2 linked regions of the Canis lupus familiaris genome follow. The protein of the gene in region 2 interacts with the protein of the main gene of each other region in a pairwise test. Links are inferred from orthologs where the notes say so. Each region holds a gene or a part of one and is shown on either strand. Other genes may lie near its edges.

Region 1 (4,500 bases), on a different chromosome or scaffold from region 2:
AATGATTCAGTGTCTCTGGAGAACTGGCTCCTTCTCTACTCCCAGCCCTTTCTTCCCATCCTCCTTTTTCTTTTACCTTACCTGGTGGCCTCCTGTCGTTTGTGGAAGGTACGGTTAGGAAAGTTGGCAAACAGGAAACTCTCTTCATCTCCCAAGGCATAGGCCTTCCCACTCCGATTGGAGGCCTGGACAGCAGCCCCCAAAGCCTTCCAGGGCTGCTTTTGAGGGCCTATCCAGAGTGGGACAAGTCAGAGAATAGCCTCCTCCCTCCCAGCCCGCTGGACAATCCCGCCCAGCACCTGGAGCGCAGTATAACCCTGTCTGAACTCCTGGTCCAGGTTGCTGGTTCCCCAAACTCTCTCCCCACCTTGTAGTTTCCTGGGGAACCCAGACATCGAAGCCCACACTCACCACAGTCCAACTCTTGCTGTAACTGCCTCTGCAGCTTCTCCGGGTCCCATGGCCCCTCCAGCTCCTTGGCCCTTGACTTCCTCCTCTGTGGTCTTCTGAGTTTGGAGCTGGAGCTGCTCCCTTTGCACTGCAGGTCATCTTCATCGGAGGCTGCCTCGCGAAAATTCTGCCCCTTTCTCTGAGAACCAGCTCTCCTTCTATGGAGGGTCCTGTGCTCTCCCTCCTCGGCCTGCTCTGTCACCTCTACAAACTGTTCCTCTTCTAATATCAACCCCCTGCTGAGGAGTTGGGGCAGCTCCCCAGGGCTCAAAACCCTCTCTATCTCCTCAGAACCCAGGGCTTCCAGCTCGGTGCCTTCCTCAGACTCAGATCCTGATCCTGACCTCCTCCCAGGTGGCTGGAGGTCATACTCACTGGGTGCCTCCAGTTCTTGGCTCTCCCCTTTGCCAGAACAGCTGGGGATGCAACCCCAGGCCCTGAGCTGCTGGCTTCTCTCCAGGTTTGGCCCCTCTGTTTTCCAGCAGAAGCCATGGGGCTCTGGGAGGGTGGTTGTGGACTTGTGCCTGGCCTTATACTGGGGGACTGCTCGGGACAAGGACAGAGCTTGGTGGCCTGGGGCGGAGGCCGAGGAGAAGCTGGGCTGATGCAGAGCCTGGCCATCAGTGGTGAAGCTCTCCCAGGCCCACTGGAAGGGGAAGGAGGGTTTCCGAGGAGGAGAGGGGATGAGACTGAGGAAGGAGAGGACAGGGAGCAAGGGTCAAGGTCAGGGCCTCGGCCCCCAGTGGGGCCTGCCAGCCAGTATCCCCCCAGCCTATTGCACAGTGGCTTACTCTTCAGCTTCAGCAGAGCCACGGTCTTTCTTATTCCGAGCCTTGGGCCTCCGGTCCTTCTTTGGCATCTGTCCTGTGCTCCGAGACCTCGGCTGCTGGCCCAGAGCCACATCATCGCCATTCCCAAGCCTCCCCTAGGTGAAGACAGGAGAGGAGGCCTGGCTGCAAGCAGCCTCCTGGAGCATCCCACACCTCCTCCAGGGGACCCTCCTCTTCTCTGTACCATGGCTGGCCTGCTGGGCTCTTGTTATTGGTAAAACTGACTGATCACCACCTCAATTTTTAATATTTAATGATGCTGCTGAGTACCTGCTGGATGCTCAGGATTTTCATGCATCAACTCATTTAACTTTCCCAAGGACCTATATCCCACTGTTATCCCATGAGATCTTTTTTTTTATGGTGAAAAAAATTTATATTTAGATTTATAGCCGGCTGGACTCAGTTTAGATGATCCCAATTTTGTTGGCAACATCCAAAGCATGATAGGAGCCAGTCGAACATATGCTTTTTCCTCTCCATCAGGCCTGATTAAGGTGTTGACCTTGGCCACATCAATGTCATAGAGCTTCTTCACAGCCTGTTTGATCTGGTGCTTATTGGCCTTGACATCCATAATGAACACAAGTGTGTTGTTGTCTTCTATTTTCTTCACGGCTGACTCAGTAGTCAGGGGGAACTTGATATGGCATAGTGATCAAGCTTGTTTCTCCTGGGGGCGCTCTTTCCAGGTTATTTGGGCTGCCTCCGGAGATGCAGGGTCTTGGGTGGTCGGAATGTAGGTGACATACGGATCTTCTTTTTGTGTGTGTGACTGTGCACATCTTTCAGCACCACTTTCTTAGCTTTTAAAGCGTTTGTTTTGGCTTCGGCTTTGGGAGGGGCAGGGGCTTCCTTCTTCGCCTTCAGTGCCATCTTCGTGAAAGGGCCCGATGAGATCTCATCTCATCCCAGATAAGAACACTGAGACTCAGAGAGGTGACATCACTTGACTAAGGTTACCTAGCCAGTAAGTGGAGTCAGGATCTGAACATGCATAGTCTGTCTCGAGAGCCCAGATTTGTCACCATGGTACGGTGCTGCCTCCATGTCCCGGATAGCTCTTTTGAATGCTCCATGGGGCTCTGGACTTGCTAAATCAAGATAGAGGAAGCTTATTATCTTTCCTAAAACCCTCCTCCTCCTCCTTCTCCTGCAGTTCCCCTAGATGGCTCTCCTGGAAGCCTGGGAGTCATCCCTGGGTGTCTTCCTCATCCTCGCCTTGGACCCTTTAGGCCTCCCTGTGGTCCCTGCCTGCCTTGGGCCTTCTTGTCTCTCGCCGGGCCTCAGCTCCAGTTTCATGACTTCTCCAGTGCCATCCTGAGCCCTGGCCTATACTGACCCCAGGCAGCCAGGCTGCCTCCAGGCAGTTGGAAGTCCCCCCACAGGGCCTCCCTCACCTGCTCAGCTTGGGGGATGTCTGACAGGAACTTGAGCAGCCCTATGGTCATCCCAGGAGCCTGGGATGTCCTGCCCTGGTCTCCCTGAAGCCGCATGTCCTGCCCTGGTCTCCCTGAAGTAGTCCTGCTCGCCCGTTGGTGGGTGTTTCGCATATTGGTGTCCTGCCCGGACCCCCACCCCCATCTGCCAGCCTTGGAACTGCCCACCCCACCATCTCTATGGCAACCAGTTCTCAGTCAGCCTCAAGGGCTCTGGCAAAAAGCAGGCCAGGGAGAGTCAGCCAGGGTATGTGAGGTCAACTTCCTTCTGGGGGGGTAAAGTTCAGGATGATGCTGAGAAAGAGTCCAGGCCTGAGAGTCTTGAGGCCCAGGGCCAAGCCTACCTCTGCAGGACTCTTCGTTGACCTGGTATGAGTCCCCTGTCCTCACTCAGCCTGTGTCTCCCCCTCTATCTGTACAAGGGATCTCAAGACTTGACCATTTGGAAGGGTCCTCACACCCTCGGTGCCTGAGGGGGTCCCTCTCCCTCCACCTGCCTCCTGGGCTGCCCCCAGTACTCCAGCCCCAACTGAGGCCTTGCAAAAGCTAAGCTGAGCTCTCACAACAAGATCTTGTTCAAACCACTTGGCCTCCCAGGTCCAGACAGGGCAAGAAAAGCCAGTTGAACACCATGCCCAGGAGGGAAGCAGCAGGCAACCAGGACCCAGAGGAGGCTGTGGAGGAAGTCAGAGCATTTAAATCTCATCCCAAACTTCTAAGCATCACCAAAATGCCTTACCATGGTAAATCCCCATGGTACGCCTAGGACTGACCACTACCACCAGCAGCATAGGGAGTTCGGCGCCAAACTGAGCCCTAGAGACCCAGCGGCAGGGTTGGAGGCCTGGCTTGGCTGCTCACCAGCTCTGTGACCTTGGGCAAGTCACCTCTCCCCTCTGCCAAACTGGAAAGCATAGACCCATTCCATAGGTTAATTACAAAGATTAAATGAAATCATGAAGGCAGCATGCTCGGTAATGGTTCATTATCACTACTGCTAACAATGGCGGACTATTATTGGGGGGTAGCAGCACATGGTGATTAAGAGAACACAGGAAGCACTGGGGTTCAGATCCAGCTCCCCTTGTACCTCTGTGTCCTCTTGGGCATCACAAGGCTGGTTATGATGGCATCTTCCTCCTGGGGTCACAGTGAGGCTTAAATCAGTTACTAGAGACAGGTACACCTAGAACATTCCCATGGCTCATCCGAACTTCTGTGGAAGAGCTGTTGCTCCTTAGCCAACCATGCAGCCCCAGTGAGACCAGTAAAGGAAGCAGAGTCCAGCAGATGCCCTACAGGCATGGTTTTCCCTGAGCTTTGTTTCTGTGGCCTCATATCTGCTCTCAGACTCCATCCCGGCAGCACCTTTACAATGAGCTCACCCAGTGGAACAGCCTAATTAATGCTCCAGGTGAAGATTTCTTGTCCCTAAAATAGGCAAAATCTGCTCTTTCTGGTGGGTTGCCATGCCCACCCCACTGCCTCCTCTATCAGGTGTCCTGTGGAAGTACACAGGTAGGCTGCTCCATTTCCAGACCCTAGCCCCACTGATTTCCTGGACAAACTCTGGGCCACTTCCTTCCTTGGCAGAGGGCAGGTCTGGGTCGCTCAGGCTGGTATTTTTATGAGGTGCGTGCAGACCTCTTTTCTTACCTAGCCACTCTCACTTCTTAAGGGAGCTCATCCTGTCTGACACAAGCCATCCTTCACCTTCCACCTACTCCCAAGTCAGCCCTGCCTTCTCCCACAAAGTCCAGACTCCTATCCATCAGCCGTTT
Region 2 (4,353 bases):
CCCTCCTGCAGGCCTCCAGGGACAAGATGCTGGAGGGACAGGAAGGACTATGGCAGGATGCTTCGTCCCACTGACAAATCCTACCACTCCCCAGACGACCCGAACATCAGAGTAAAACACGTCAGAGACGAACCCGGGTTACCCAATCCGCAGATAGGACACGAGAGTTCATCACACTCCATGCGCCTGACCAAAAATTTGGAACAATTTGTTTTACAATAAATATCTCGTAAGTACTTAATTGGAAAAGCATTGCATGACCTCATTAAAACATAAGCAGTTACCGAGTGCACAATGTACACAAGGGAATGTTTGCAAAGGGCTAAAAGCCGGTCACCAGACGCTGACGAACAAGCCACTCGGACACACTGGCTGAGCAGAGGTTTCTTTTTACCTCCTTTCCCTCAAGGCTGCGGTTCCAGATGCTCTGGGCTTTGGACTCAGCGGCTAATAAGCCCCCCGTTCCTAACGCACGAGAACCCAAATCTACTTCATTAAGGAAAGCTATCTCGCTGCTCTATAAACACGTGAGCTTAATTACTATAAATTAGTGACCTTAATTTACAAAACGCTTTTGTGGGACTTGAAGGAAAGTCTGGAGGGGGCTCATCTGTTACTGCACTCAGGACGGGACTCAACACTGGCGCCCCCTGGAATCCCAACAAGGGCCGTCCAGCTAACCCTGGTACGCGTACTCTTCCAGCGTAGTGTCTAGGGGATGAAAATCAGGGGCCTGTGACCACAAGCCGTCTTCCTCACACTTCACTGAGTGCCAAACAGTACCCACAACCATGTGTAAAATCTCAAGTAAATCTCAGATAGGGGGATCCCTGGGTGGCGCAGCGGTTTGGCGCCTGCCTTTGGCCCAGGGCGCGATCCTGGAGACCCGGGATCGAATCCCACATCGGGCTCCCGGTGCATGGAGCCTGCTTCTCCTCTGCCTCTCTCTCTCTCTGTGTGACTATCATGAATAAATAAATAAAATCTTAAAAAAAAAAATCTCAGGTCTTAATTCCACCACTGGTACTGGCTGGGGTTAAGGGATACCGCTAAAGTGAGGGATATGCAGTGCTTTTTCATTACAATTTACACCTGCCAAATTCCTTTGCCAAAAATAACAAAAACCAAACAAATAAAAATTGAGTAAATGAGAACAAAAGCAGAAGGGAAGCTGAATCACCTTACAGTTGAGAGCTGCTGACTTTTTATTTACTTATTTAAGTAATCGCTACACCCAACATGGGCCTCGAACTCATGACCCTGGGATCAAGGGCTGCACTCTTCCAACTGAGCCAGCTGGGCGCCCCATGAGCTGCTGACTTTTAGAACATGGTTCACACATTGAAACTTAAAATCAGTAAGGACTCATAACGAAATACAAAGAGGAACAAGTGGGCAACCTGCGTGGCTCAGCGGTTTGGCGCTGCCTTTGGCCCAGGACCTGAACCTGGAGACCTGGGATCCAGTCCCACGTCGGGCTCCCTGCATGGAGCCTGCTTCTCCCTCTGCCTGTCTCTGCCTCTCTCTGTGTGTCTCTCGTGAATAAATAAATAAAATATTAAAATAAAATAAAAAAATTAAAAAAAAACAAACAGGAACAAGTGATTGACATAATGCAACAAAACCTACATAAATGCACTAAAATAATCTTATAAAAAATCTTGACTGTAAATTCCAAGAATAAAAGCAAAACAACTGTATGCAAATATTACACTCTAGCTAGTAGTCTATTTTTCATAGAAATACGGATTGGCAATTCTGAAGTTGCTCCAGAAAGCACAGGACGGGCGGGGAACATCTGGCGGTGCCGAGAAATGCTGGGGGACACGCTGACTTGAAGGGGCTCCTAATGCCCAAACCTGGAGAATTAGCAACAAAATACATTATAGCAATGTATTATACAGGTGTGGAATAAAAACAAAATAAAAACGTGTATACCAACACGAGATGAGGGGGGAAGGGAGGAAGGTAAGGTGCTGGGGGCACCCGGCTTGCTCAGTCGGTAGAGTCCCTGTGTGACTCTGGATCTCTGGGTCCTGAGTTCGAGTCCTATGTTGGGTGTGAAGCCTACTTAAAAGAAACGGGGGTGGGGCGGGAGGTTCTTTCTTACAGAATTCCATTAGTTGGAAAGAATAATGGAAACAGAAAAATCCTTAATTGGTAAAAAAAATATTAATAATTGTTTCAGAAAACACTTGTGATAGAAAGTGTGGTTAGAAACAAGATATATAGGGCGCCCGGGGGCCCAGCGGCTGGGCGTCGCCCTCGGCCCAGGATATGACCCCGGGGACCCGGGATCGAGTCCCGCGTGGGGCTCCCCGCAAGGAGCCTGCTTCTCCCTCGGTCTGGGGGTCTCTCTCTCTCTCTCTCTCGGTTGCTAACGAATAAATAAATAAAATCTTTTTTAAAAAAAGATAAAGAAACAATTTCCGTGGCCTGGAAGTATCATTAACGAAAAATGGCAACTTTAGAATGGGGACACACGGAAAGTACGTGCGTGAGCAGCGGCGGGGCAGGCGGCGCCCTGGGCCCGGGAGCGCGGGGTCCCACCCCAAGTCGCCCCGCCCCCGCCTGACCCCGCCTGACCCCGCTGCCCCCCGCCCCGCCTGACCCCGCCGCGCCGCGGGGGATCTCTCCACGACTGGGCGGGCCGCCGGACCGACCTCCCGGCTTCCGACCCTCCGCGCGGGGTGGGGCAGGCCGCCGCGGGCGCCAGCAGGGTGCTCGCGGGAGGGGGGCCCGCAGCCACGCCCCGCCCCGGGAAGGCGACGACCCCGTCACTGGGCCCGGGAGCGGCCCCGCCCCGCGCCCCAGGCTCACCGCGCACGCCCGTGGGGACCGGCCTCCGTCCCGCCGCGTCGCCATGGTGACCAAGTCCGCCCTCGCGGCTCCGGCGCGCTCGGTGCGGCGCTCGGGTCCCACCGCCCGGAAACGCGAGCTCCGGCGCCGGGTTCCGGCCTCCTCTCACCCGCCCCGCGCAGGCGCCAAGGGGCGGAGGGCCCACTCCCGCCCACCTGACGCCGGGAGAGGGTCCCCGGAACTGGAGGGACGGCGGGGGCTACGGGGGCCGGGGCCGCACGGGGGGCGGGGCCGCACGGGGAGCGGGGCCGTGGGGGCGGGGCTGCACGGGGTAGGGGCTGGGGCCGCACGGGGGGCGGGGCGGGGGCGGGGCCGGACGGGGTAGGGGCAGGGCTGCACGGGGGCGGTTAGGGCTGCACTGGGCGCGGGGCTGCACGGGGTGGGGGCTGGGGCTGCACGGGGAGCGGGGCCGGGGGGGCGGGGCTGCACGGGGTAGGGGCTGGGGCCGCACGGGGGGCAGGGCGGGGGCGGGGCTGCACGGGGTAGGGGCTGGGGCTGCACGGGGAGCGGGGCCGGGGGAGCGGGGCTGCACGGGGTAGGGGCTGGGGCCGCACGGGGGGGCAGGGCGGGGGCGGGGCTGCACGGGGTAGGGGCTGGGGCCGCACGGGGGGCGGGGCGGGGGCGGGGCTGCACGGGGTAGGGACAGGGCTACACGGGGGCGGTTAGGGCTGCACTGGGCGCGGGGCCGTGGGGGGGCGGAGCTGCACAGGGGGCGGGGCTGCACGGGGTGGGGGCTGGGGCCGCACGGGGGGCGGGGCGGGGGCGGGGCTGCACGGGGTAGGGACAGGGCTACACGGGGGCGGTTAGGGCTGCACTGGGCGCGGGGCCGTGGGGGGGCGGAGCTGCACAGGGGGCGGGGCTGCACGGGGTGGGGGCTGGGGCTGCACGGGGGCGGGTCCAGGGGGCGGGGCAACATGGGGGGCTGGGTACGCGGGGGTGGGGCCGGGCTGCACCGGGGAAGGGGAGCGGGGTACCCGGGGCTGCACGGTGGGGGAGGTGTCCATAGGCGGGGCCGGGGCTGCGGGGGACGGGGGGGGAGGGTCGATCGGGGGCGGCAGTGGGGCGGGGTCCGTGCCCCCCCAGCACCGTGCATGGGCCTTGGGGGGGGCGGGTGGCTCCAGCAGCCTCTCGTCCTGCGGAGGTCGCACCGTGTGTTGCGTGTGGTGCGGAGAATCCATCAGTTCGCTCTCCTAACTTGTGCGCTTTTGCCTTTGTGCTCAAACATAAGTGGAAAACAAAGCCAAATCGCCCTTGTAGGCAGCCTGCCTCCCAGAGGCGGGCCAGGCCCTGCTGCTCCTTCCGGGACAGCTCTGGGGAGCCCCTGAGGGCCTCCTCGCTGGCCTGGCAGTAAGCGGGGACAGAACGCATGCCCAGCCCCCACCTGGCAGAGCCTGGTGGGACACTCACCTGTGGCCTGCGTCACCCCTCCTGTGTTTCCTCCACCCCAGGGGCTCGCTGGCTCCCCGGGGCCGGTCCCCAAGCGGGTCCTGCCAG

What was found. The genes of interacting proteins can lie anywhere in the genome.
Region 1: the proteins of CCDC57 (region 2) and TSGA10IP interact in binary tests that used the Homo sapiens proteins (3 or more experiments, as listed by UniProt). The two-hybrid records come from large-scale screens. The link is inferred for Canis lupus familiaris from reciprocal best matches to the Homo sapiens genes CCDC57 and TSGA10IP.

What each region holds. Positions count from the first base shown.
Region 1 is NC_049239.1:51,823,217-51,827,716, forward strand, and holds the start of TSGA10IP (testis-specific protein 10-interacting protein), read right to left. Parts: upstream 2,881-4,500; 5' UTR 2,834-2,880; coding exon 2,681-2,833; intron 1,367-2,680; coding exon 1,242-1,366; intron 1,140-1,241; coding exon 412-1,139; intron 230-411; coding exon 82-229; intron 1-81.
Region 2 is NC_049230.1:950,535-954,887, reverse strand, and holds the start of CCDC57 (coiled-coil domain-containing protein 57), read right to left. Parts: upstream 2,958-4,353; 5' UTR 2,821-2,957; intron 1-2,820. UniProt on the Homo sapiens protein: Pleiotropic regulator of centriole duplication, mitosis, and ciliogenesis. Critical interface between centrosome and microtubule-mediated cellular processes. Centriole duplication protein required for recruitment of CEP63, CEP152, and PLK4 to the centrosome.